Linked DNA regions of Mus musculus. The protein of the gene in region 4 interacts with the protein of the main gene of each other region in a pairwise test. Links are inferred from orthologs where the notes say so. Each region holds a gene or a part of one and is shown on either strand. Other genes may lie near its edges. The genes, in order: Mapkbp1, Snx7, Ppp1r18, Tex11, Nefl, Zfp414 and Necab2.

Region 1 (3,500 bases), on a different chromosome or scaffold from region 4:
AACCCTGTTCCCACCCCTGCCCTGCTGGGGACACCCAGTGCCCTTACCTTCTGTGCAGTTCGGAAGTAAATGCTCTTGTCTGCACCACAGCTGATCATTCGCACTTGCCCATCACTGGCTGTAGGGGACAGGGACCTGGCTGCTTCCACCATATGAAGGCAGCCTTTCTCCTGCCTTCCCTTATTTTCCCCAATGGAGCTACTCTACATGGTGGACCAACCAAATAAAACAGAGTGCATCCCACAAAACCCATGCACCCCCTCCTCAGCCCTCAGTCTGGCTCAGGGTCCCCTAGACTGAAAGTCTATATTTCACCTGCCTTCCTACCTAGCCTCATGACTCCCGGGTACCTCCCAATCCTTCCCAGCAAACTCTTCTCATAAATGTAGGTGGTAGGTAGAGGGATGAATAGCTTCAATTGCCCAGTCCCCACCTGCAAACTTGACAGCAGTGATGGAAGATGAATGCTCATCCAGTGTCTGCTGTAGACTATATTCCCGGCCAGCATCCAGCACGTGGATCAGACGGTCCCGGCTTGCCGATGCTAGCAGTTTCAAACCTGGGGTTGGAAGAATCTTATCAGTTCACGTTAAGCTGGCCCTTATCAGTGCCTGGGAAAGAGCCCCAAGTAGACAGAGCCTCATATCCCTAAAGCCACAGAACCACAGAACAGGGGCAGAGATCTTACAATCCTGCAAACACCAAGTGATCTGAATGAATATAGGACCCAAGATTATCAGAAGCCAAGGCAGGTATAAGGTGGCACTGGCAGGACAGGAGGGGCTGTGCCAGAGCTAGACCCTGCTAGGGCATGGGTTAGGCCTTACCTGTGTCTGGCTTAGAGTACTCCAGGCACAAGATCTCAGAGTCGTGGGCCTCCACTTTCAGCATCTCACTCAGGGACTGCAGTTCATGTATCCTACAAATAAGAGACATCATTGCCTGGCTGTGAGAGGAAAGGCCTCCTTCTTCTGTTACATCCTCTCCCCACCTTTAAACAAACATTTTAAAGCTTTAAGAAAAAGTTCAAACACTGAAGGTGTTCTATATCCCCTTGCCCAGTTCTTAACTAGCATACATAACAACAGCACATGTCAGAGCCAGGCATTTACATACTGTTAAGTAGGTATATTATTATTTTTTTAATTAATTAATTTATTTATTATATGTGTATACGCTGTAGCTATCTTCAGACACTCCAGAAGAGGGCATCAGATTTTTGTTACGGATGGTTGTGAGCCACCATGTGGTTGCTGGGATTTGAACTCAGGACTTTTGGAAGAGCAGTCGGTGCTCTTAACCGCTGAACCGTCTCACCAGCCCAAGTAGGTATATTATTAACATGCCATTATTTGTCCATATGTCCTGGATTCAGGATCTTAAAGAATGTAAAAGGCATTTAGCTATCACTGCTCTTTAGTTTCCTGAAGTCTGTGGTAGTCTCTCCATCCCTCCTTACCTTCCATGTCCTCGACACTTTTGAAGAACACTGACAATTACTCTCTTGTATGTACCTCATTTGAGCCTCTCACAAGTGAACTGAGTTATATGCATTTTTTTAAAGAACACCACAGAAACAATATTATGTCCTTCTTAGAACCCCTTATCTTGAGCTTCCTCATGCGGATGTGTGACTGATAGCTGTGCCTATGTCTGCGATGGCTTTTTCTGAGCTCACCACTGTAAGCTCATTCTTTCATTTTACAGAATAAATATCTTGTTTCTAAGCTTTGGGGGGAGACAAGCCCTCCTAAAGCGCTGCTCTTGAGGATCTAACTACCACAGTCACCATGAGAGGCAGTCAGTACCTAGCTCAGAACTTGACCTTACCTAAGTGTCCCCATGCGGTCTCCGGAGGCCAGGTGCTGTCCATTGGGGCTAATACACACGGACCGGATGCCCACTCGGGGGTCCATCAGCGACCCATCAGCTTTGTCTCCTCCAGGCAGCTCAGTGTCCAACAAAGCCTGAGTGTTCCCATCCACATAGATGATCTTAATGAGATCCTGGTGGGAAAGGAGAAAGGAGACAGCTCAGGCAGTACCAGCAGGATGGCTGCAAGCACAGAGGGATGCTGGGTAAAATCAACCCTAGGCTCAGAGAGTCCAGCCAAATAAAAGCTGAATGATCAAGATTCGGGGAGCCAGTTCCTGAAAACAAGGTCAAAATCTATAAGCATGGGGGCATAAGTATGAAACGGGAGGCTCACATTGCTGAGGATGTTACGGTGCAGGGTAGAGCCATGTACCCCAGAGCTCTCTGTGTTCCACAGGCGGATGGTGTTGTCTGAGGAGCAAGTAATAAAGGAACTGGGGGGAAGACAGGCCTGGTGACTGTCCTTGATCTCAGGGTAGACCTGAAGGGACAGAGGGAGAGAATTAGACTTCCGCTTTGGGGGGCATTTTTGTCTACTCAGGAAGAAGGAAAGGGTTATGGCATCCAAGGCAGAGTGCTAAGACTTAGCTATTGTCTGACATTTAGTAAGGAAAGGAGACATTACTGTTATATATGCACCCAGTAAGGAAAAGCCCGCGATCCCAGCTCCTCCTGTGTGCCATAATCTCTCAATTACGTTATGTCATTTCATTGTTAGAACAATTGGGAAAATCTGATACATCATTTTACAGTTAAGGGATCTGAAGCTTAGTCTGGTTTAGTAACTTATCCAAGATTCCTGAGCCGAGGATAAGGCAAAGACTCAGGCTAGGCAGAGACACACAAGAAGGCTGAGGTGCATGGGCACCAACGTTCACACTGGAGCTCTAGAAGCTCTAGAGCTACAGCAGGGAAGCCACTGAGAGCCGAGGGGCAGGACCCTAGGGCCGTGCTTGGTGTTCTCTGCTTTCTATTCTCACAGTGGAATTACTGCAAACCCATCCCACGTACCTCCACACTCCAGACACAGGAGGAGTGATACAGAGCGGAGTACACCTTCCCCACTTTCTTGGGGTCCCTCACATCCCAAACATATATGCTGTGGTCGTTGTATACACAAGATAGCCACTGATTAGTTGGATCGAAGGTCAAGGCAATGGTGTCTGGGTACCTTGCATTGACCCCTCCAGAAAAGAGGCGACTGTGGGAGAGAGGACAGGAAGTTACCACAAAGGAAGGAATGGAGCACAGGACACTGTCTCCAGTCCTACAGATTTGGAAGTAGAACTGAGAATTCAAAAGCAGTGCCTAGAGATCCAATCCAGGAGCTCACCCAACCACAGCTACTGGGCAGAGTGTTTTCCAGAGAAATGCTAACAAATTCATAGATCACCAATACCAGACAAGGCAATTCTGTGGTTACAATGGAGCACAACAAAATCTACATGGTTCTATGAGTATTTCTGCACAGAGATCAAAACAAGACTATACTACATACCACAAAAATAGGGTTTGTGATATAGCTCAGTGGTAGAGCACTTATCTAACAAGCAAGGCTCTTGGTACTATCTCCAGCACCTCAAAATCTCCTCCTCCTCTTTCTCTTCTTCCTCTTCTTCCTCCTC
Region 2 (3,500 bases), on a different chromosome or scaffold from region 4:
TGGGCTTAGGATCTGCTAGACTTAAAGAACTCTGCTAGACATAAGGAATTCTCTGTCTATGAGAATCCATAGGCTGTTAACAGTTGCTAGGGAAGGGAGATACCTTTTCCTCAGTGGTGTTACCACTGGTAAACTGTTCCTGTTTCTATAACCACCCCACCCTTATCTTGTAAGCAGCCCCGTGAAATTTAGTAGAGCATCCAGTTAATCAATAAACAAGGCATGAAAGAAGTTGGGAAGAAAAAGTATCATCCGGAGTGGAAGGGGGCAAAATGAAAATATATACATATATGAAGATGTCATAATGAAACCAATTTTGCATAACTAAGGTATGGTACGTAAGACAAATCTCAGGAAAAACAATAGAAAATTCAACTAATTGTCACAAATTCCTTTATATCATTTACTTTGATTAATGTCAAGGCAGGTTTTCTTTCCTCCAATCTAAATAATTCATACTATCAGCAAGTCCCACATACTCAAGTTCTACTTCTGTACTGTGCATTAATTTATAAACATATTTTAATATAAATATATATTTTATAGGATAATCAGTAAATATCATATAATTTTAATCATTATCTATTAAGGTATCACTAGTGATTATTTTAACTCAGATGAAAATATCCTATATGAAACAGGAGCAAAAATGTAATACAAAAACTAGTGATTATATCCTAGGTCTCTATAAAATAATTCAATCCACCAAGGAGCTTTATAATGGATGTTTCTAGTGGCTATTATGATTTTTTGCAAACTTTAATTGCATAAGATTTTGCTTTCATGGTGTCTAGCTTGACTTAACAAGAGGGATAAGTACTACCGAACTGATGGATGAAACAGATAAACCATATTTCCAAGAAGGATCACAAGGAGAAGTAACTAATGAGAGAAAACCAGGAGACGCAGCTGAGGCAATAGACGGAGAGGAAGATCTCTCAGCCGCAAAGCATGGAGTCTCTGAGAAGCAAGGAGTGTTGTTTATAGACAACTCCTCAGAATCCAGGTAACGTCAAAAGTCTGCAAAGTTCATGCAAGATCTAGTGACTCTCAAGTAAAGCCTAAACACGAGACACAAGAGAAATAACTCATGTTTTCACAGCTCTGCAACCCTTTCTTACCAAGATAGAGACAATTTTTAAAATTACTAGGAATCAAGGTGCATTCCATCTGAAATCAGTCATGGCTCCAATTTCAAGCAGAAGGGGCTATGTTGGAATATATGCTTATACATCTCCAATGTTATCCTCCAACATCCCCCTGAAAGACTCGACACCAGAAGGAGCCAGCATGCTGAGAACACAGGACAATAGAGGACAAAAACATCACCGTTTCCAAACAAACACAAGTATCTGGAAATCCTAAGTTGAACTGAGGAAGAAGAATGTAAGATGACTATATAACGAACAAAAGGCTTTTTTACAGGGTGTAAGGGAACATTTTAACTTGGAAGATTTCTCTTCGGAAGCAGCCTGAAGGCACGGCATGCATATATCAAGACCCTACTACTCAATCAATTATATTCTTCATGATATATATACACAATACATAGGACATATGTTCAAAATCATAAATGATACAGGAAAGTAACTCTCAAGGAATTAAATCTATAAAGCATAAAACAATGACATGTTTTAAAGTAAAACTGGGTGTTAGAAAACTGCTCCTTAAGTCAGTCCTGATTAAGGATGCTTTGGATCGAAGCCAATCACATAAATTATTCCTATTGAGCAGCCCAGCTGTTGTCTATGTGGTCACTTAGCCATTGATGCCTGGCTACAGTGGTTAGATATCTCTTGGGCATCTACACGTACAACATCCAACTAGGACAGGAAAGAGTGGTGGACACACAGAGACAGCATCATGAAGAGAACAGCGCTGAGACTCTAGTTCAGGGTCTTACCACTAACATCTCACTGTAAAGCACATACTCGTGGACGACAGGGAGCAAGGCCTCTGACAGGCCAGCCATCCGCTTCTCCGTGGCCTTACAACACTGCTCAATGCAGCCGGCCATGCCTTTCAACGTGTCGACCAGCTCTTCCTCTGAGGCTGACCATAGAATATGAATAGGGCCGTATTCTTTCATTTCATCAAAATAGTCTAAAAAAGAAAAAAAAAAAGAGAAAAAAAGTGTCATTGTCAGTTTACATTTTTGAAAGATTTACGTTTTATTTGTATTTGTTTGGTTGGGTACGTGAGTGTATGCCTCATGTTCAGGTGCCCACAGAGAGCAGAAAGGGGGGTGCTGGGACCCTTGAAGCTTGATTTGCTGGCTTCTGAATCCACATCCTCTGGTCGATCAATAAAAATCTTAACTGATGAGCCATCTCTCCAGCTTCTATAAAAAAGTTTTTGAAAATCCCCATATCATAGATAGTATGAAAGGACGTTGTCTTATTCTCTCCAAGTTCTTATGTTTAGATATGAGCAAATGCTTATATTATCCTTCATTAACTAACCAGCCATTGCAGATTGTACAAGTCAGTTTTTGAAGTGCTACTAAGTATAATCAAAACTAGATGTCTATTCTATTATCCTAGCTTGGAAAATTATATTATACAACTATCCTAGCTATTTTAAAATTCCACCTATCATATAATTACATATAGATATTGTATCTAAGTATACACAGCCAAAGTTCTAAGCAAAATGTGTCTTTATTCCATTCTTTTATCTATACAAACACTTCAACGGTAATTACTACGCACTAACCTAAGCAAAACTATAGGCTTTCTTCCTTCCCTCTACAGGAATCACCATGCACACAGTGATATTCTCTTGAGTTCACCTTCTTTCCACCCAGTACAATTCACTGGAAAATATCCTGCCACTCCAAGCTACAACTAGCACCAAGTTTTCCTATGATCAAGTGAACTCCAGAAGTTAAGATTATCTCATGAAGATGTAAGTTTTAATCTGAGTTCTTAACTTCACTTTTCAGAGTAAAGTCCATCTGTATTGAAGACTAATGACCCCAAAAATAGGAAGTAAAAAATGTTAAGAGTTCTGTTCTCAATATGTGTGCACATTGATGGTTCTCATTAGGCAGTTAACTATTTACTACAGAGCCTTCTTAAAATTACACAGCTTTCAAACCATACCTACACATCAACATTTAGTAAGTGCCCTTGCTAAAATATAGGTATCAAGTATACTGTGAGGTCAGGGGCAGGTACAGCTGTAATCTCTTTAGTCTATAGCACAGAGAAACAACACAACATGCAATCAGCAGAAATTTGAAGAATAAATTTAATAAATTGGGAAACAGAAAAGAAAAGGAAACCAAGCTTTATTTTTTAAATGATCAAAATGAAATGATTTAGAATGAAAATGATCAAAAGGGCTCACAAGTTACCACTCTCAAACTAGTTTCCTGATATGGATCTGTATGCCCTGCACCGGTTAGATTTCAAAATTCCCAATGGAATCTCTAATATGTTGAATGGAATCCTGTCTCCAGCTCTGTTAAGGATGCTTAGCATCTTCTTTATTTTTTT
Region 3 (4,189 bases), on a different chromosome or scaffold from region 4:
GAAGCACTGTCTAACATTTGCCCAGTTTGGGGGGAGGGGTAGGCAACCCTGAAGTCACCCACTTCAAATGGCCTCTTCTTGCCAGGAGTGGGGGCCGACTTGGGGTCTAAACTCCTTCTTCCTTCAGCCAGCTCTGTTCCATCACCCCAACCCACCCCCCACCTCTGTTCTGGAATGTCCTCCATTAGCTTTGACCCCCTCCTCCTTCTGGGGCTGAGACCTTCATTCCAACTTCCCTGAACTTCTCCGTCAACCTTCTCTGTCCCCCTGGGTTATTTTCACACGCCTTCACAGGTACGTTATCTTTTCTCTCTTACCAGAGGGTTAACTGGGTCAAAAGCCCAGAGGAAGAAAAGGAGAGGGGACCGAGAGAGTGGGGAAAGAAGAAACAGGCAGGGCACACCCGAAAACGACACACCCCAACACAGCAGTTGAGTGCAGAACAGAATCCTTGGGGCTCCAAAATGAATGGCAAAGGAAGGCTACCCAGAGGAAGGGTGTGTGCAGGGGGAGGAAGGGAGTCGGCAGGAATAAAAAGAATAGAAGACAAGAACACACACATATAAAAAAGCCATCCAGTCAGAACTAGAAAGAGACTTCTACCCAGTCAGGCATGGTAGCTCTCTTACCTGTTTGTGATGTCTTTCAGGGGACCCCTTGACAAGGCAGCTGCGGCTGAGACGGAGGTAGCCCCCCAGCACCAAGATCTCCTCTGCAGTTGGGTACCGCTTCTTCCCAGATCCAGACCCTGCAGCATCAGCTGTAGCAGGGTTGACTGGAGGGGCTGGGCTGGCAGGGGGCGCACACCTCCGTGGGTTGACAGTGAAGGTGTGTCCACTGCGGCGGGGGGCCCCCACCCCCGGTCCTGGTTTCACCCCATAGAACAGACGGCTCATGAGGGGATCCCCAGAGGGTTGGGGGGCAGTTGGGGCCGAGGGTGGGGGAGACAGAGGGGCTGGTGTTGGGGGCCGGGGTTCTGCCGCTTCCTCTTCCTGCTGTCTGGAGCCTTCCGTCCCAGAGTGCTCTGGTGGGAGGGGGGAGGGCCCAGAGCAGAGGTTCTGCTGGGCTCTCAGAGGCCTGCTCTGAGCCTCCGCCTCCTCCTTCTCAGCCTCCTCTTCAGCCTCCATACCAGAAGGTCCTGGGTGCTTCTCTGAAGATGCTGGAGGATCTGGCTTCTGAGTTTGTGTATCTATGTCCCAGGTCGTCCGTTCTCGAGCCTTCCCAGAGTTTAGGGTCCATTTCCAGCTTTCAGTGGGTCTCTGCTCAGCAGTCTCCACTTCGCTCGAGGTGATGTCTTGAACCTCCTTTGTCACCGGAACAATCCCTGAACTCAATTTCTCTTCCTCTCTCCCACACCCTTCCAAGTAGTCTTTCCTCTCTTCACCGGACTTCAGCCTCCACTCTGTGGCCTCCAGCTGTATCAAGCTCTGTTTCTGGGGTTCTCTTGAGTCAAGATTCCATTTATGGACATCTGTCGGGCTGGCCTTCTGGTCACCAGGCTCCCCAGGGCTCAGAATGCTTTCCAACACCTCCTTTCTCTTGGGACTGTCATCTCCAGAACCCGCTAATCTCAGACTCTCCTCTGGAGTTTCTCCAGGGCTCAGCCTCCATTTCTGAGCCTCTGCTGGTCTGGAACTCAGGTCTCTGGCCTCTGCTGGGCTCTGCCTCCAGTCTCGAAGAGACCTCGAACTTGACTCTTGGGCTCCCCCTATCACCAGCCTCCTATCTCTGGACTCCCGGGGACTTAGCCTCTCTTCTCTGGACTCTCTTCCCTTAGGACTCTGATCTCTTAAATTACCAGGACTTGATCTCCTTTCTAGAACCTCCAGAGGCCCAGCCTTCCTATCACCAAGCACCTCGTTTCTCTGCTGCTGCTGCTGTTGCTGCTGCCGCTGTCGCTCCTGTTGGATGAATCGATTCTGATGTACTGGTCCAATAGCCTCCAAAAGGACAGCAGATTCATCTGGGTCTGGAGGTCCAGCCTCAGCATTCCCAGGCACAGGGCTCCCCTCTCCAGGAGGCAGGCCCAACTTGGCTCTGCGTCGTTCCAGGATTCCCCTCTTCCAGGCTGGCATCTGGGACAAGCGATCCCGTTCTGCTTTCTCGCGGCCACGAACCGCTGCCTCCTCCTGCCTCCGCCGGGCTAGCAACTGTAGCTTCCAATCTGGGATAGCGGTCATGGTCACTGGAAGTGAAGGAGAGAGTATTGGGGGACAGGAACAGGAAGGGTAAGCTTCAGAGGAGCCCGGAGACTGAGAATGGGGGTTGGGGGAGGAAGTGATGCGGGAAGGGACGAAGAAGGGCAGGAGGGGACAGTGGAATTAAGAATGAAGATAGAGGAAGGCCGTGAAAGGAAGGACAGCAAAAGAGTCAGGAACTGAAAAACTGAAGAGAAAAGCTGGGTGCCAAGTTGGGGGTGGGGATAGTGGGAGAGGAAGAGTCGAGATTCCGGGCAGAGGCAGAGCTAGATTGGGGTTTGTGGGCACCAGACCGTCCCTAAGATATAAGAAAGGGGAGAGAGGAAAAGCAGGAGAGAGAGAGGAGCCGGAGGAGCCGGGGCTGAGAAGTGAGCGGATTCAGTCAAGACTGCCTCCCCCGGTACGCAGGGGGAGATAAACGGGAAGAACAGGGAACCAGACGGCGAAGGGCGAGGAGATCGGGCAGGAGGTGAGGAGGTGAGGACAGATGTAGAGGGCAGAGGTCCAGGGTAGAAGGGGAGACCGGGAAACAGGCAAGGGCGCCGGCGCCTCTTCGCACGGGGCCCCCGCAGCTCCCGGCTGCCTTCCCGGCTGCGCTCGGCCCCGCCCCTCAGTCCGGCCCCTACCCCACTGTCTTTCCCGCCCCCGAGGCGGGTCAGGGGAAATACCCTCCTTGGGGACTTTTGGTACCCGAGCAAGTGTGCAGCCCCGTACATTCCCAGAACCCTGGCGTCCAGCCGCGTTCAGTCCCTACAATCTCGCCGGCCTCCCCACCGGATACGCTCCAGAACTCGGGCGCGACGAGGACCCACATCACGCCTCTGCTGTCTTCCCCAACCAGGGAGCCGGCTCTCAGGGGACCTTGACCCAAAGGGTTGTGCACCAGAGGGAACTGAAGGGACAATCTATGCAAAAGGGGAGACACTCCAGGGAAGATCTGGAGCCAGGAGGCACTTCTCTTAAAGTGGGAGCCACATAGTCAACTTACACGCCTCGGGGTCCCTAGGAGGAGGTGCAGTGGAGTCAGGCGTCGGGAGAGAGGAAGAGGAGGAGAGAGGCGAAGGGAGATCCGGAGGGAGGGAGGGAAACAGAGGAGGAGGGAAGAGGGAGCCTAAGAGGAGGGACGGAGACGCAGACTGGGGGCCAGGCGGGGGCGGCGACCGCTTTGTCTACGGACAATGGGGCGAGGGAAGGGGGCGCAGGGAGGAGCCCGGCGAAGGGCGGGGCTTCGCTGCCCTCCTTCCCGCGTGGACTCTGGTGGGACTTCTCTCTTGCTGTGGCTATCCCCTCGCTCTCCGTTGTCTGTCTCCAGAGACCTTCACCCGCTTCCTTCCTTGCAGCCCCGAAGAAGCGGGGTGTCCAGACCCACTTCTCCAGCTGGCCGACCCGGGGCGGCGGCCCGTGACTCAGGCCCCCTGAGGGACATGGGGAGGAAGCGGCAGCTGCTTGGAGTCGGACCCGCCCTTCCCATCTCTCGCCGCTCCTCCCCACGCTTTTTCTTTCCCTAGCCAGTCTTTGTTACCGTGGCAGAGAAGGCGGCTGCCAGGCCCTGGGGTCTGAGGCAAAATGGCTTTGGGAGTTCGCTCTCCTCCCAGAGAGTTATTCTGTCTCCCGTGGGTTCCCTGATTTATACGCGGAGAAACTAATATTTGGAGGGAACAGGACTGGACGACTGAGAGATGGGGCGGGTCCATGGGGTGTGGCCCCAGCCTTGCGATCGTTTTAGAGTGCTCGGCTATCACCGCAAAAACTAGGTCTCATCTTCCTTCCCACAATTGGTTCTGCGGCTTGAGAGTCATGGACAGACAAGTGGATATCATATGTATAAAATTTTATTTTTTCTGCAGCGCATATCCTTTGGGAGAGCAGGGAGCCCTGAGTCAACCCGAGTTAAAATCGGGAGACGTCGCCTTAGGAGACCACACAGAGCTGTAGGGAAAGACCTAAGGAGAAACTAAGGCAGGAGTGGGGAGGAAGCACAGCCGCGGTAC
Region 4 (3,500 bases):
AGGTACAGGGGACATACTCAGTATAATAAAGGCAATTTATGGTAAGCCCACAGCCAACATCAGTCTAAATGGAGAGAAACGCAAAGCAATTCACCAAAATTAGGAAGAAGACATGGCTGTGCTCAATGTAGTCCTGATGTCTTAGCTCGGACACTAAGACAACTGCAGGGGGTCAAAAGTATACAGATTGGAAAAGAAGGATTCTAAGTATCAATATTTGCTGACGATATGATACTATAGGTAAGTGACCCCGAAAATTCTACCAGAGAACTCCTACAGCTGATAAACACCTTTAGCCAAGTGGCTGGATACAAAAGTAATTTACAAAAACTGGTAGTGTTCTTGTATACAAATGACACACAGACTGAAAAAGAAGTCAGTGAAACAGTACTTTTAACAATAGCCTCAAAAATATCATGGGACAACTCTAAGCAAGTCAGTGAAAGAAGCCCTGAGGGCCAGCATAAAGAATGGAAACAGGCAACCTTGGGAGGTGGGAGGACCCTCTAGAATAGACTAGAGACCTGGGAGGTGAAATGCCCAACAGTGGGGAGAGGGAACTGTAGGGTCCATCTCTAGTAGAAAGACAGGGTATTAAGTGGAGGGATGGGGTTGCCATCCCACAGTCAAAAACTCTGACCCAGAATTGTCCCCATCTAAAAGAACTGCAAGGACAAAAATGGAGAAGAGACTGAGGGAAAGGAGGTCCAGTGACTGGCCCACATTGGGATCCATCTCAAGGCAATGCTCCAAGACCTGACACTATTACTGATGCTATATCTTGGAGAAAAGACAAGCATTATCAACGAAGAGTGCTGGTCAAACTGGTTGGCTACATGGGGAAAAATGAAAATAGATCCGTATATATGACTGTACAAAATTCAACTCCAAAGTGATCCAGCGCTTCAACATCAGACCAAGTACACCAAGTCTGATAGAAGAGAACACAGGGAATAGGCTTGAACTTACTGACACAGAAAAGGCCTTTCTGACTGGACCCAATAGCACAAGAATTAGATTAGGATCAACAATAAAGAAATGGGACCTCATGAAGCTACAAATCTTCTGTATGGCAAAAAACATTATCATTCAAGAAACTAGCAGCCTACACAATGGGAGAAAAAATCTTTATCAATTATATAACTGATAGGATGTATTTAGAACATATAAAGAACTAAAAAGAAAAAAGAAAAAAAGACCCAATTAAAAAAATGTGGTATAGGGGCTGGCGAGATGACTTAGTGGGTAAGAGCACTAATTATTTTCTGTATAAAAAGCTAAGCATATGATCATGTTTCAGGTAGGGGCAATACTGGACAGGAAACTCACAGGAAAATTAAAAATCAGCAGGCTCTCTAACAGAAGAGTGATAGGGATTAGAACTGTAGTGTGATTGATAAAAGTGGCAAAACTAAGTTCTTCAGAGAAGCTGTGGCCTCACAGAGACTATAGAGATTAATCAGTGTGGAGTTACAGTAAGTCTAATTTTTAGTTTGCATATAGAATACAGTTAGAAGTTCCAGATGTAGCTTCTGGATTAGAAATGGAATTTCCCCCTCTTCCTAAAAGGTTAAAGGTTGCAAAAGAAAAACCAAGTTGTTCAGTGCTGAGGTTTTTCATATTTAAATTCATATAGGCCGGAATTAACTTGTTCCAGGAAAAGTCTAGATTTCATTAGTCACTGATAGCTTGTATCAGATTGGCATCCTACTTACTATCTTATATTGTGATTTACAAATCCTGTTATATAAAAACAGCCAAGATTCTTAGATTTTGTTGTTGGTTTTGTTTACCTGCTTGATTTTGAGACAGAGTGTCATGATCTCAATCACTATGTAACCAAGGATGACCATGCATTTCTGATGCTTCCAGGTACTAGATTACAGGTGTGTGCCACCACATCTGGCTATGTGATGTTGGAGACAGAACCCTCAGCAAGCACTGTACAAACTGAGCTACGTCCCAAACCTATACTTAGATATCATTATGAATGTAAGTAATGGCTTTTTGCATTCTTTTCAGCAAGCCATCTTACTCTCCTGTTCTATAGCTCTCATAAACAACAGTTAACATCTTACATATCTTATTCATGAATAAGTTTATAGCACAGATACTATTTATAGTGACCCACACATGTGCAATGTGGTAGGCTCCAAAAATACAAAACAATTCAAGATGAATAGTAGTCTTGTTATTCTGACCCAAACCTTATACTTATACTAGTAAACTTATACTAGAAAATCCCTACAATTGACTACATTTTATAAACTCAGAGATACTTTTAAGGTGATATCTACATTGTAATGTGAATTTACCATAAAAATCCTATCAGAAAGTATCATTCTGTATGAATTCAAATATACAATTCCTTACAATCATCTGCAAGTTTACTATTGCTCTTTGACTTACGTTTTGGCGAATGATGCTCAGAGTATTTTTAAAATGGCTCTGAACTTCTTTTAGGGGATACAGCGATATATTCCATACTTCATCTGCCACCAGAAGTTTAATCAAGTTGTGCATGCATACGCTGAAAATATAAAGAGAGAAACGTAAGAAAATAAAAAGTAAGGAAAGAGATCAGTGGCCTGGCTAAGACAGTTAACTCTGAGTCTCAGCTCACACTGAGAGCTTTGTAGTACTTCTGCTCCTTCTTTCATTTTGATCTTGCTTCTAATCTTGGAAGACAGAGTTTTGAAAATGTAAAAGGGGTTCACTAGCCCTTCCTTTGATACTTGTTGTTGGTTGTCATTTTAGTCAACTTCACTTCTCTCATAAAATAATTGTTTAATTAACGTATTTTAATGTGTGTGTGTGTGTGTGTGTGTGTGTGTGTGTGTGAGCCCAACGCACACAAGCTTGAGCAGAAGTCAGGGGACCACTCTCCAGAGTTGGTTCTCTCCTTCAACTATGTGGGTCCTGAAGACTACACATAGAAGACCATCAGATACGGCAGCAGGTACCTTCATCTGATGAACCATTTTGCCAGCCCAATCACACCATTGTCATATTTTATGAGCTGATTTAATTTATGGGCATTTAAGCAATCATGCTACCTCCTCAAGGACACAAAGATATTAAAATTGGACTGAAATTGACAAAAAGTGAAGATCTTACTTCTCAGAACAGAAAGACTGTAATGAATTTTTCCTGAAAAAAAAAACAAAACCACATAACATTATTGATACTTAAAAGTACTAAGGAAAAAAAACAGAAGAAAATTAAGGAAAAATGTTGAAGTTGAGTGGTGGCTACAAAGTTATGATAATTTGGGATATTTAGTAAATGACATGAAAGAAGGAAGATACATAGTACTATTTTATTATATGCCTAGAAAAATGAAGGAAACCAGGATATACCCTTCTTTTTCTCCCCTGAGAACGGTGGATTCCTTATTCTTGCTTAATATTTTTCAGTGTCTAATGCAATGTTCACTGCAGAGAAGTTTACAGGATAGTTTCCCTATAATCTTCTATGTTGGCCCCATTGATTATAGTGGC
Region 5 (4,278 bases), on a different chromosome or scaffold from region 4:
CCTGGACGTGGCTGGTATAGTAGGCTGGGAAAGAGCGAGCAGACATCAAGTAGGAGCTGCTCTGCAAGCCACTGTAAGCAGAACGGCCGAAGACCTGCGAGCTCTGAGAGTAGCCGCTGGTTATGCTACCCACGCTGGTGAAACTGAGCCTGGTCTCTTCGCCTTCCAAGAGTTTTCTGGTGGAGAGGGAATGAAGAGTACAGTTAGAGCAAGGCTGGATGTGTTCATTGCTCTAAGCCCACATTCATTACTTTCCTCTACAACCAACCTCAAAGGCAAATACAAGAACAAATACGGTTAGGCATAATCAAAATTTAATAAGGAGTTCACGAGAGACCCCACCCAAAAAGACCTTCTATGCATCCCTATTAGGTTTAAAATATGAATGCTAAGAACAGGGCTTATGTTACTTCAGGGTTAATTCCCTACACATTTGTACCCTCTTGGAGGAAGACCAAAGTAGGACTATTCTAGAGCACGTGGGACTCACTATAACTGCACTGACTGGGTCATCTGCTCTGTCCTGAGCCGCCATGCCCACTGCCAGCACCACCCTGATGTTACCTGTAAGCTGCAATCTCGATGTCCAAGGCCATCTTGACATTGAGGAGGTCCTGGTACTCCTTCAGGTACCTGGCCATCTCGCTCTTCGTGCTTCTCAGCTCATTCTCCAGTTTGTTGATTGTGTCCTGTAGGAAGATTGTTTTAAAAAATTCAAAACACAAATCTCTACTGCATTTGTTTTACTGTAGTATCCATGATAAGTTCTGGTCTTAGTTAACTCCAAAGTGTACACCTTCCAGAAATCTCCCTTAAAATAATGGGGTGGGGTGGGGCATAGGGGGAGGGGTTGGCCTAAAATGCCCAGTCTAGTGAAGCAAGAGAAGGAGAGGAGGAAGAGGAGGGGAGTAGACTGATGTGAACAATTTTGAAAATTGTTCTCAATTGATTATGGTAAGCTGTCTTTTAAAACTACCAAATTGATGATGATATTATTATTATTATTAACCACCCTTGTCACATTTCTTTTAGCCAGGTCGCATTTGGGAAGGGGAATATATATATAGTGTGTGTGTGTTTGTCTAAATAAATATATAAATAAAAATTAAATTATATATATTTGTGTAGCTGTTTGTCTAAAATGCTTCCCCCCGCCAAAGATGAAGAACTTTTTTTTTAATGGACTGCAGTGATTAATTGCTAAAATATTGTGACTGTATTCTTGTGTCCCTATTAAAAAAAAAAACTATCCCAAGGCTGGGTGGCCCAAAACTAGTGAGAGCTAGCAGGCATATTTATTAACCAGGAGATCCAGGAAGTACTGAGGGTAACTTGGGAGTTAAGGGTTGTCAGTAAAGAGAAGGCATTACTTGGCAACGCCCAACTCCGACTCCCTCCGCCCCTTCCTCCCAACTCACCCCTAACAACCCTGATTCAACCAGAACAAGCAATCCCCAGGCAGCAGTCGCGCCCCGCCCCCTCCAAATGCCCCATCCTTTCCACAACCTCTCGGAAGCCAAGCCCTCTGATAGCTGCTCTGTGCTCTAGAACCCCCTAGCGTTCACTCTCTGGGTACACCCTGACTCCCCCCCCCCCCGCCGCCGCCCCTACCGTGGACCTCCCCACCCCCACTGAGCTTAAACCGTACTATACCTGCATGGCGCTAATGTCTGCATTCTGCTTGTCCTCTAGCTCCTGCAGCTGCTTCTCCAGAGCTTCGTTCATACCCCGGCAGGCTTCGATCTCCAGGGTCTTAGCCTTGAGCAGGCGGCGGCTTTCCGACACCTCGTCCTTGGCAGCGCGCACAGCGTCGGTGTTCTTGGCGGCGCTCTCGGTTAGCACGGTGAAGCGGCTCTTGAACCACTCTTCGGCGTTCTGCATGTTCTTGGCGGCCAGCTTCTCGTACTGAGCGCGGATGTCCTTGAGAGCGGCGGAGAGGTCGGGCTTGGAGGACACGTCCATCTCCACGGAGATCTGAGCATACTGGATCTGAGCCTGCAGCTCGGCGATCTCTTCCTCGTGCACCTTCTTCAGGAAAGCTATCTCGTCCATCAGGCTGTCGATGCGCTTCTCCAGCTCGGCGCGGGCGAGCGCGGCCTCATCCGCACCTTTGCGCGCTTCCATCAGCCGGCCCTCGGCGTCCTCGCGGCTCAGCACTTCTTCCTCATAGCGAGCCTGCAGGTTGCGCAGAGTCTCCTCCAGCCCCTCGCGCTCGCCCTGCAGCGCCTGCTTCTCGTTAGTGGCGTCTTCCGCTGCCAGCCGCAGATCGCGGATCTCCTGCTCGTACAGGGCGCGGAAGCGGGAAGGCTCAGAGTGTTTCTGGCGCAGCACCAACAGCTCGGCTTCCAGGACCTTGTTCTGCTGCTCCAGCTCGTGCACGCGCTCGATGAAGCTGGCGAAGCGATCGTTGAGGTCCTGCAGCTGTGCCTTCTCTTGTGTGCGGATAGACTTGAGGTCGTTGCTGATGGCGGCTACCTGGCTCAGATCGAGATTCTCCAGGCTGGGCATCAAAGAGCCAGAGCTGGACGAGTAGCTGCGGCGCACGGACAGCGAGGAGGAGACCGGCGCGGAGTAGCTGGAGTACGCGGAGCGCGCCGTGCTGTAGCCGCTGCGCACGCTGGAGATGTGCACCCGGGGCGTCTCCACATAGCGCCGCTTGTAGGAGGTCGAAAAGTACGGATCGTAGCCGAACGAACTCATGGTGGCGGCCGGTGCGCCCCTCAGGCCCGGGGCGGAGATGGGGGACCTAGAGAGAAGAACGGGGGAGAAGAGGGAAAGGGGAGGATGGATGGCTGTGTGCGGCTCGGCGCGGTCCTGCCACCTCTATTTATACGCCGGGACTCTGACGCAGACTGTGATCGATCGCCGTGCGCAGGCCAGTGGGGGCAGCGCGTTGCTGCAGCCAAGGGGAGGATTCTGCGCAAAAGCAAAGGCGGGGGCGAACGACAGAAGGCTAGCGAGCTGCGGCTCCAGCCTGGCCGCTTTTCTATGAGGACCCCTACTTTCTCTGAGACCCCCATAACTTCCCTGCTTATTCTTTTCCTTTCCTATTCCCCCGTCCCATCCTGCCTCTTAATACCTAAAGCCCACATCACTAGGACTCTTAAATGTTCCAAATAAAAAGGTTCGCGATCCCTACTGACACATCAACTTTTAACATCCAATGTCACAAAGACACCTTCACCCCACCCCACCCCACCCCACCCCACTCCCAGCTTTCCCTTTTTGCCTCAGGGACCCTCTCAAGCACCCTGATTCGTGTTTAAGCAGCACGTTTGGGTTGCTGACAATAGCTAATGTTCTTGCGGCATTACTGCAGGAAAAGTTTTGCATGTCTTTGTAGCTATTTTCTGACGTTTTCTTAAATTCGCCCCACTTTCTCCTGCCTCCTTTTATTTTTATTTCTATTTCTTTCCGTATTACTCTTCTTCTCAATACATAGGGAAATTGCACCACTACACACCATTGGAACCGCAGGACAGCGGGTGTTCATTTTGGCATTTTAAAACCTTTACAGCAGTTAATTTGTCTGACACCTTTCATAGAATTTCCCCTTTCTTTGTGAGAAATGTAGTCGGGAATGCTTAGGAGGGGTTGGAACCAGCCAGGTAAAGATTTGCAAGGCAAAAGACGGGCGCGCTCGGCCGCGGGAGAACTTCAGGGTGCCTTTATCCTCACTGAGCTATTCATACTTCCAACGCCTCAAAAGCCTCTTCTCCTCTTTTTAACACCTGTGTGGTACCCCAACCTGATGGTTTCAACAAGCCATGAAGGTAGATGGGGAGAGAGAGAGAGAGAGAGAGAGAGAGAGAGAGAGAGAGAGAGAGACTGCTGCAAAGGGCTACCCGCTCTGGGTGTGGTCTTCAGGAAGAGAACGCTGCATGGAGCCTGCTGAAATTCACAGATAATAGATACACTTAGGAACCTATGGGCTTCCTTCAGGGAGCACCCAGATACCAGAGTGGGCACGCCAAACGCACGTGGGTGCAACATTTTCATACTCGCGTTGTGAGCGCCTGCAGTTCCGAAGAGATACTGCAGATTTGTAAGAAATAACTAAAACCTTTAAGCAAGCATTTGGCGTTTTGTTTAATTTGTTCAATGTATCGCTGGCTTGCTGATTCCTTTAAATGGCACAGTGGGAGGTTACCGTTTTCAAGTAAAAAGTAGTGAAATTTTTGGAGTTGTACTCGGTCGCTTCTGGAGACCAAACAGAGGATGAAGGGAGCTTAATTCTGTATATTCCTTTCTCGTGTTACACATACTGTGATTCTGATA
Region 6 (4,295 bases), on a different chromosome or scaffold from region 4:
GCCAGGGTCCAGGCAAGCTGGATTCTTTTTCCTGGGCTTGACTGCCCATCACCGCAGGCACCACATTTGCCTCCTATCCCTGGATCCACCACCGGAGAAGAGCACTCAGAGATTGGACAAGACACAAATGTTTACACAGGAACGCCAGCGCAGATGAAGGCATAGGTACCAGTCATTTTAAAGGTAAAAATCATGTATTTTAAGGGACAGGCACTGCTGCTTTCCAGCATTCGCAAGGCCCACACAGGGCATAGGAATGAAGGCCCCTCCACCCTGCCCTGGTGGTCACCTGCACGCACCTGAGGGCGCATCAGAGCCACCCTGAGGTCTTCTGGGACTACTGGTAGCGCCTGCAGGAAAGAAGCAGTTCAAGTTCAGAATAAAGGTGGGCTCAGCCAGCTTTGCAGGCAACCTGCTCCTATACTCACCTTGACTCTTCTTCCAGATGGCAGTGCTGGATGCTGGTGGCCCTGGAGTGGCAGCCAGGAATGGGCGCAGTCGAGGGGGACTCAGGCCAAAGGGTGCAGGGTTCAAGTATGGAAGGAAGGGCCCAGTGGGGGCAGAGGTAAAAGGCTCAAGTAGTGGGAATGGCAGGCCCAGGGAAGACGAAGGGTCGGACTCTGGGGGACGCTCGGGTACAGGTGGCTCTTTGTCCAGGGCAGGGGGTGGTGGCGGGGCTGGGTTCTGACCATGGTCTATACAAACATGCAGATGCTTGAAGAGTGAACGGTGAGTGCGGAAGCGCAGGAGGCAATTCTCACACCTGGGGGCAGGCACAGTACTGGACTATATCCTGGGCAACAGGAAGGGCCTATCCACTGCTTCCCAGGGACCAAGATGTAGGAAGGGTATCTATATCAGAATCTCTGTAGTACTGCACACAAAGTAAAGGAGCTTGGCCTACAGGCCCTCCTTTACTGTAGTCTTAATTCTTCTGGACCTTTCCAGCTCAGAATCTCAAGTTTGGTTTTACTTAAGTGCCAGTTTTCCACATAAGACATGAGGTAGAACTGGACGGAACCACGGCATGTATACCCTGCACCTCCAAACTGAGCCCGTAGCCAGAATGACTTAATTCCCATCTGTTTTCCATGCATGGTTGGAGCTGGTTTCCCAGGCCACACTCATACTTCAACCCACCCTTCCTCCACACACACTAAGAAGCACTAAAGATCTGGGAATTGAAAGAGGGGGATGGTCAGGCTCTCACTTGAAGTAGCGGTTGGGCTTGTAATGCAGCTTGCCGTGGGCTACCAGCTCCTGCATGCTGGGGAAACTCTCAGTGCAGCTCAGCGCGGAGCATCGGAAGAGTTTGCCTGGTAGGGATAAAGTGCAGATGTGGAGTGGGGTGGTTAAGACTAACTCTGGGGGGGGGGGCTCTGCCTATCTGCTTCACTATCAGCAACCCTCATCTTACCTTCCAGTGACTGTGTGGGTGGGCAGTGGGTACGGAGATGCTGTGCTAGATCACGAACACTGGGGAAACTGAGGCAGCAGCCGGGGCTAGAGCAGGGTATTTGTTTCCCTGCAGGAACGAATGGGTGTCATTACTCTCTTCCTTACTGACCTACCCAAAAGCCTTGATTACTCCCCACCCAGCCACTGTCAGAATAAACTGCCCGGAAGGGCTGGATTGGTTTAGTTCATCTCTGGAGCCACACCTGACATATTGACAAGGTGCTCAGTAAATGGTGAAGACCACCCCCCACCCCACCCCCCCACCCCCGCAATGGGATAAAAGGTGATTCCTTGTCTTGCACCATCTCAGCCCTATCAAAGGCATGTGACTCCCCAGAAAGGTCCACAGATAACCTGGCGGTGGACGGCGTCTGGGCAACCGAAGGTCCTCATTGGTCCCCACGCCTGTGTTGGTTGAGCCAGTCTGGCAACTGTCTGAGGCTGGATAGGCAACTTGCTGCAGAGGTCCTCCATGGTCCCACACTGGTGGCATGGCTGTTGGGTTAGGGCTGGGCTCCTCCACGGAGGAAAAAGTGGCTGGAGCTGCCCCATCTGGAGATGCCACCTCCTTGTCTGGCTCACCGGAGCTGGATTCTACAGTGGTCAGCGTGTCCGAGCTGGGCCTGGATGGTTCCTCCTGGTGCAAGAAGTGGCTAAAATCAGGCTGGGATCCCTAGGTCAGACAGATGCCCTTCTACTACAAAGGTCCACAAGACAGACTCCTTCAACACTCACCAGATATTACCCAGTCATTCCACTTTCTGAGTCACCAGCAAGATACGGGAGATAAGGGCAGACCGAGCTACTGTCTCCTAATTCCAATTGCAGGAGTTATCAGGGATTATGCATAAAAAAGCAGCATTAACATCCCTTCCTCAATTTTGGCAGGAGAGGCACTAGGGGCGGAGGTGTGGCCTAGAGGAGCAACTAGGAAATGCTGGAGGGCCTACAGTGGATCGTGTGATGATGGGGAATACTGGCTAAGCTAGAGCTGAGCAGATAGACGCTCTGAGCCAATACGTGTTAAATTTAGGGACTGAACTCTAGGAGAGTGGGTGTGGCCCGGCCTTCAGGGCTGGACGAAAGCTAAGTGACAGTCAGAGGCGGGCGGGGACCCGGATGTGGGGGCGGGGTCAGCTGGAGGGGGGCGCGCGGCAGGACCGTTCCCTGTCAGTCCCGCTGCTCTTCCGCGTCCGCGTGCGGGGTGCTGCGCTCACCATCCTCTACTCAGTTACACCTCTGGTTCCCGTGCCTTCGGAGGCTCTGGCTCCAGCAGGGGCGTCTTCCTCGGCGACACGGTCTCTCGCTCACATCGGCGCCATTTTCCCGCTTCTCAGATCTCGCGAGACATGGGGTGTGGCCTAATTCTGGGCGCTTCTCTAGAAGGAGGGGCCTGAGACTACACTGCAGCTCTTATACAGAAACAGAGAAGGTCTGCTTTTGATTGGTCTTAAATTTCAGAGAAAACTGACAAAAGCTCTTCCCCTCCCCACTTTTATAGCCCAGGTTGGCCTTACACAGAAGTTGACCTTGAACTTAGATGCCAATACACCAGGTTTTAGGTGGTACTGAGTATCAAACCCAGAGTTTTCATATATGCTAGGCAAACTCTCTACAAAGCAAGCCACATCCTTAGCTCTGTACACATACACGTACAAATGAATATGTATATGCACAGATGTGAGCAGGTAAGAGCGGAGGTCCAAGGTAGACATTGTCTTCCTTCATTGCTCTCCACTTCATTCACTGAGGCAACATCTCTCACTGAAGTTGGAGCTCACCAGTTCCCACCTAGCTAGCTAACTTACTTGTCAGAAGATTCCTGTGTCCACCTCCAAAGGGCCCTGATTACAGGAAGCTGCTATGCCTCACAGGGAGGGCTAGAGATCCAAACTCTTTCTCATTTACATGATTGTGGGTTTGAACCCTGGTCCCTTGTGTCTGCACAGACCCATCTTCCTAGCAAGCACCATAAAATTTTCAGCACATCCAGTGTGCAGCAAGTACGAATCTGTTGTAATAGCCCAATGTGAGAAACACTCTAACTAATGGATCTTCAGGAACAAGCAAATTCCACAGGTCGAGAGGTGTGAAAATGAATCCCAAGTGCACTACTACTGAGAGGTCGCCTGCCCACCCTACTTTCCTTAAGTGCATCCTATGTGCCAGGAACTTAGTACTGCTCTTGGGAGTCTCTAGTCAACCAAGAAAATGGAGAGACAATAAATCAACAACAGCAGAAAAATGATCTTGGATCTATCCTAGGAGATAAGAAAACAAACAAAACTGATGTGAAATGAGGAGTCAGGGAAGCCTGTCTAAGGGGGTGACTTGAGCTGTGCCTTGATGCCTACAGAAGCAGAGCACTACAGCAAGCTGGCGCAGATGTCCTGAGCTGGCAAAGAGCAAGCTCCCCTTTCGTAAGCAAGGGCGAGACCTCTGCACTATTGAAACAGAATAAAGATGTTGGTATGGAGGTCAGAAAGAGAACTTGGGTGAGTCCTGTAGGGCTTCCTTTCTTCCTTCCTTTCTTTCTTTCTTTCTTTCTTTCTTTCTTTCTTTCTTTCTTTCTTTCTTTTGTTTTGTTTTTTCGAGACAGGGTTTCTCTGTGTAGCCCTGGCTGGAACTCACTCTGTAGATCAGGCTGGCCTCGAACTCAGAAATCTGCCTGCCTCTGCCTCCCGAGTGCTGGGATTAAAGGCGTGCGCCACCACGCCTGGCTCCTGTAGGACTTTCAAGAGGTGGAAGAGAGAGAAACCATGGTTTCTGAAGTAGTCATTGATGAATGTTTGTTTTTCCATTTTTGTGTATGTGGTTGCATGTATATATGCACACAT
Region 7 (3,500 bases), on a different chromosome or scaffold from region 4:
CTCTCTGAGCATGGCTGGGTGCAGCTGTGTGCTCAGTGATGGGAGAGTCTAGGGGGATGAGTGTGCGCACACCTGCAGAGATGCGTGTGGGTGTGCGTGAGTGTGTAGCACGAATGTGTGTGTCTGTCAGCAGCCGTGGGCAGGCTGGCAGCGCAGTGGGAAGAGGGATTGATAGCTTGTGAAGGCTGGGGAGGGCCTCTGCCTGCTGCAGTCTCTCCACGCTGGGTCCCAGCCTCGAGGTCTCCCGGGGAAGTTTGGGCTTCCAAGCTGCTCCTGGGAGAGGGATCTCAGCTGGGTCACGAGGCTGCTCAGGGCACCTGCCCAGGCTCATCTCAGGACTGACTCCAGCCCTCCTCTCTCCAGATTTTCCGCCGCGCCGATAAAAATGGTGAGTTCCTTCCAGGTGCTCCGCTGCCCACACTCCCTGTCCTGATGCTTCATGGGAAAGAGCTAGGGGTGGGGACAGGGACGACTATGGTCCTGAAGATGAAGAGCACAAGAAGATCCAGAGGTCAAGTCCTGCCGCTGTTCTGGGCCTCAGTTTCCCCTTCTGTAAGCTGAAGTGGTAACAGCTGTCCTGTGTTGCTCTGAGCTTTGGGGCAAGGTAAAGAGATGTATGTGAGTGACCTACGACATTTCAAAAGAGAACCAGAGGGTAGCATGTTCATCCAGGAAGGAAGTACTGACGAGGCCTGTACCTGTCACCTGCCCTGAGGCCCTTCCCAAGTGGCCTTCAATTCAAGGTGGCTCCAGTTTTGTCCAGTTCCTATGTCCTTCCTAGGAGCTGTTGTTAACCGTCCCATGTGGTTGTGGGGTGGGGTGGAGCCCTTTGGGTTATGAAAAGGCAGAAGAGCAGGCCTGGGTTAGGATCATTGCAGAGGAGTGTTGCCCTCATTGGGCCTGTCCCAGGTGATACGCATCTTCCCAGGCCTGGCAGTGAAGGATCACCTGCAGATCCCACACACAACACAGGGATGTAGGGAAATCAAACAGTACGGAAGATGTGGTAGCACTGTGCAGAGCCCGCACTACCCAGGGAAAGAGGCCTGGCCCCGCCCCCAACACAGGTCACAGGAGTGTCAACTTCAGCTTGCAGTGAGCCTTAGACTGCACCCTCCTGACCCCCTCCACTCCCGCAGGTTGGGTGTTTGGACTTGTGTTCTCGGTGAGGGCACTATGCCCAAAGCAAAGGAGGGCCTGTGCCAATGTATTCAGGATGCCTTCCAACATAAGAACAAGGCTGTGTGTCTCTGGGAGGCTCTCACGATAAAGACTAGCTTGGACGTGGTGGGCACGAGATAGCCCGAGGGAAGGCTAGTATGAGAGTCCTGACTGGCACCCCTGGGTATCGCTGGAAGACGGGCATAGACGTTTAGCAGAAGGGTGAGGATCAGTCAGTCTCTCCTTCCCGGGATGTGAGACTCACAGGCTCTTGCTATTTGAAAGGTCACTGCGGCAGGCCGGGCTCCTGCTCATTAGTAGCACCACCTGCAAACAGCCCTGCTTGGGTTATTGGCAGAAGTGATGAAGCTACAGGATAACTTGTCATCTCTTAATTGGACCAGAGGCCAAGTGGAGGATATTTTTTCCTCTTAATAGCTCATCTGTGCTCATTAGGCCTGTGGCTAGCACCCAAGGTAAATGTCAGCAGGCTTGTGATCAGAGAATCTGCAAGCCCTGTCTTCCAGCTTCCTGTTCTCTCTGGGTACGGAGGACACTGAGGTACCACCCATGAGAAGCAGGTGGAAGCAGTCAAGAGGGAAACTGGACCTGGTGTTGGCACACCCCATGCTGTGCCCGGGACAGACATGACTAATCAATTACAGCACACATGTGTTGAGCCTAGCATTGGCCTCAGCTTTTCCATGCAGCCCAGCTACTTCACGAAAGATAGAGCCACCCAAAGGGTGGGGGACTGTGCTAGCACCTACCGTGTGGCACAAAGTCCTGCTCTAGGTTAGGTTGAAGGTCTGAGTTCAAACTGTTGTTGCCTTGAGGAAGGATGCAATAGAGGGACTATCCTCAGACTATCCCAGAGCCTGGGACGTGGGGCCGGGGTTGAACGTGATCCCTATAGGCTAGTGGTGTCAGGTTAAGCATGTTACTTAAATAGTGTCTGTGTCAGATGACTGAGGGAAGAGCAGAAGGGGTGATTGCCTGGTAGAGGGCACGAAGGTGTTTGCTCCCCAGAAACCAGCTTCCATTGCCTCCGATGGTTTGGGATTACCTGTCGGGAGGCCTCAGGCTGATCACAGGGAGTTTGTCAGCTGAGTCAGTAGTAGTGGGGATAGGCTGTGGGCTACCACTGTGTGCTCTTCTCTCGGAGACAAACAGCCACTTGCTTCCTTGCCTGCCCATTGCAGATGATGGGAAGCTGTCCCTGGAGGAGTTTCAACTCTTCTTCGCAGATGGCGTCCTTAATGAGAAGGAGCTGGAGGGCCTCTTCCATACCATCGATTCAGACAACACCAAGTGAGCCCGGGCTACCATGGGGCACTGTGGGGGGGGATGTATAGGCTCCTCCCATCTCCACAATGCCAAGGTCCTGTTTAAGGGCAAGAGGTCTGGAACTCCCCTGACCCAGTAATCCAAACATCAGACCTGTTTGGCTCTCACTGCCAAGCTGTGTGCCAAGCACGCTCTCGCTCTCTCTCTCTCTCTCTCTCTCTCTCTCTCTCTCTCTGTGTGTGTGTGTGTGTGTGTGTGACTGCCACAGAGTTTGTCCTATGTGCTACCAAGGGGTAAGAGACCCTGGGCCTGCTGTAGTATACACAGGACTGATGGAACTTGGCCATGACCCTGCCTGCTCTCTCTCCGTTCTGTTCTAATCCCAGAACTACCCCAGGATCTACATTCTAAGATCCTGTTCCTGTGAACCACCATCCCAAACCACCCCCTGTAATGCATATGAATCCCAACTCTATCCTGAACCTCACTTCTGGCTTTGAAGCCAATTGAGTTGTTTTCTACAATTCACTCATGACTTGGACCCCGTAGCAGTCTCACAGGGTACCTGGCCTCCAAAGCCAGCATGAGTGTGCACTGTCCTTTATCTGATGCTCCTGAATTCAGTCTAGGTGGGCAACAGCCACCTGGTCACCTTCCTCTGCCCCACTAAGGTGCTGAGGACTAATGTTTCTAGGGTGCTAGGGCAGGTTGGATCACTTGGGGGGCCCAGAGACTAGTGGTGGTGTGGGTACACGGTTGCTACCAGGCCAGTTTGCTGTTTGTATAGAAAGCGGTAGCACAGAGCTGAGGCTGGAGACCTGACAGGGTATGATTTTCTGGGCATGCCACCATGTAGGAGTGACTTTGGTTCTCACAGTAGATCAGGGGACACTGTCTCCAGGACGCATGAGGTCTCAGCTTCTCTGCAGCCTCCTGGGAACACACTGAGTCACACATTCTTGGGATGCAGAGGTAGGTGCATCGCTGAGTTCAAGGCCAGACTGAGTGAGTTGCAGGACACAGAGAAACCCTGTCTAAAAAAACAAAAACAA

Evidence for each region.
Region 1: the proteins of Tex11 (region 4) and Mapkbp1 interact in binary tests that used the Homo sapiens proteins (3 or more experiments, as listed by UniProt). The two-hybrid records come from large-scale screens. The link is inferred for Mus musculus from reciprocal best matches to the Homo sapiens genes TEX11 and MAPKBP1.
Region 2: the proteins of Tex11 (region 4) and Snx7 interact in binary tests that used the Homo sapiens proteins (3 or more experiments, as listed by UniProt). The two-hybrid records come from large-scale screens. The link is inferred for Mus musculus from reciprocal best matches to the Homo sapiens genes TEX11 and SNX7.
Region 3: the proteins of Tex11 (region 4) and Ppp1r18 interact in binary tests that used the Homo sapiens proteins (3 or more experiments, as listed by UniProt). The two-hybrid records come from large-scale screens. The link is inferred for Mus musculus from reciprocal best matches to the Homo sapiens genes TEX11 and PPP1R18.
Region 5: the proteins of Tex11 (region 4) and Nefl interact in a two-hybrid assay, tested with the Homo sapiens proteins (2 studies listed by BioGRID and IntAct). The two-hybrid records come from large-scale screens. The link is inferred for Mus musculus from reciprocal best matches to the Homo sapiens genes TEX11 and NEFL.
Region 6: the proteins of Tex11 (region 4) and Zfp414 interact in binary tests that used the Homo sapiens proteins (3 or more experiments, as listed by UniProt). The two-hybrid records come from large-scale screens. The link is inferred for Mus musculus from reciprocal best matches to the Homo sapiens genes TEX11 and ZNF414.
Region 7: the proteins of Tex11 (region 4) and Necab2 interact in binary tests that used the Homo sapiens proteins (3 or more experiments, as listed by UniProt). The two-hybrid records come from large-scale screens. The link is inferred for Mus musculus from reciprocal best matches to the Homo sapiens genes TEX11 and NECAB2.

The regions. Positions count from the first base shown.
Region 1 is NC_000068.7:120,014,199-120,017,698, reverse strand, and holds part of Mapkbp1 (mitogen-activated protein kinase-binding protein 1), read right to left. Parts: intron 3,077-3,500; coding exon 2,887-3,076; intron 2,357-2,886; coding exon 2,210-2,356; intron 2,007-2,209; coding exon 1,831-2,006; intron 920-1,830; coding exon 828-919; intron 560-827; coding exon 434-559; intron 183-433; exon of another isoform or gene 120-182; intron 119-119; coding exon 48-118; intron 1-47. UniProt on the Homo sapiens protein: Negative regulator of NOD2 function. It down-regulates NOD2-induced processes such as activation of NF-kappa-B signaling, IL8 secretion and antibacterial response. Involved in JNK signaling pathway.
Region 2 is NC_000069.6:117,830,937-117,834,436, forward strand, and holds part of Snx7 (sorting nexin-7), read right to left. Parts: intron 2,104-3,500; coding exon 1,904-2,103; intron 1-1,903. UniProt on the Homo sapiens protein: Involved in the regulation of endocytosis and in several stages of intracellular trafficking. Together with SNX4, involved in autophagosome assembly by regulating trafficking and recycling of phospholipid scramblase ATG9A.
Region 3 is NC_000083.6:35,865,226-35,869,414, reverse strand, and holds the start of Ppp1r18 (phostensin), read right to left. Parts: upstream 2,801-4,189; 5' UTR 2,186-2,800; coding exon of another isoform or gene 2,181-2,185; coding exon 630-2,180; intron 1-629.
Region 4 is NC_000086.7:100,846,640-100,850,139, forward strand, and holds part of Tex11 (testis-expressed protein 11), read right to left. Parts: intron 2,531-3,500; coding exon 2,410-2,530; intron 1-2,409. UniProt on the Homo sapiens protein: Regulator of crossing-over during meiosis. Involved in initiation and/or maintenance of chromosome synapsis and formation of crossovers.
Region 5 is NC_000080.6:68,082,385-68,086,662, reverse strand, and holds the start of Nefl (neurofilament light polypeptide), read right to left. Parts: upstream 2,801-4,278; 5' UTR 2,701-2,800; coding exon 1,654-2,700; intron 690-1,653; coding exon 565-689; intron 177-564; coding exon 1-176. UniProt on the Homo sapiens protein: Neurofilaments usually contain three intermediate filament proteins: NEFL, NEFM, and NEFH which are involved in the maintenance of neuronal caliber.
Region 6 is NC_000083.6:33,627,597-33,631,891, reverse strand, and holds Zfp414 (zinc finger protein 414), read right to left. Parts: upstream 2,801-4,295; 5' UTR 2,679-2,800; coding exon 2,676-2,678; intron 2,271-2,675; exon of another isoform or gene 2,194-2,270; intron 2,096-2,193; coding exon 1,813-2,095; intron 1,526-1,812; coding exon 1,418-1,525; intron 1,317-1,417; coding exon 1,211-1,316; intron 764-1,210; coding exon 429-763; intron 351-428; coding exon 286-350; 3' UTR 176-285; downstream 1-175. UniProt on the Homo sapiens protein: May be involved in transcriptional regulation.
Region 7 is NC_000074.6:119,449,719-119,453,218, forward strand, and holds part of Necab2 (N-terminal EF-hand calcium-binding protein 2), read left to right. Parts: exon of another isoform or gene 1-363; coding exon 364-388; exon of another isoform or gene 389-604; intron 605-2,363; coding exon 2,364-2,472; intron 2,473-3,325; exon of another isoform or gene 3,326-3,412; coding exon of another isoform or gene 3,413-3,420; intron 3,421-3,500. UniProt on the Homo sapiens protein: May act as a signaling scaffold protein that senses intracellular calcium.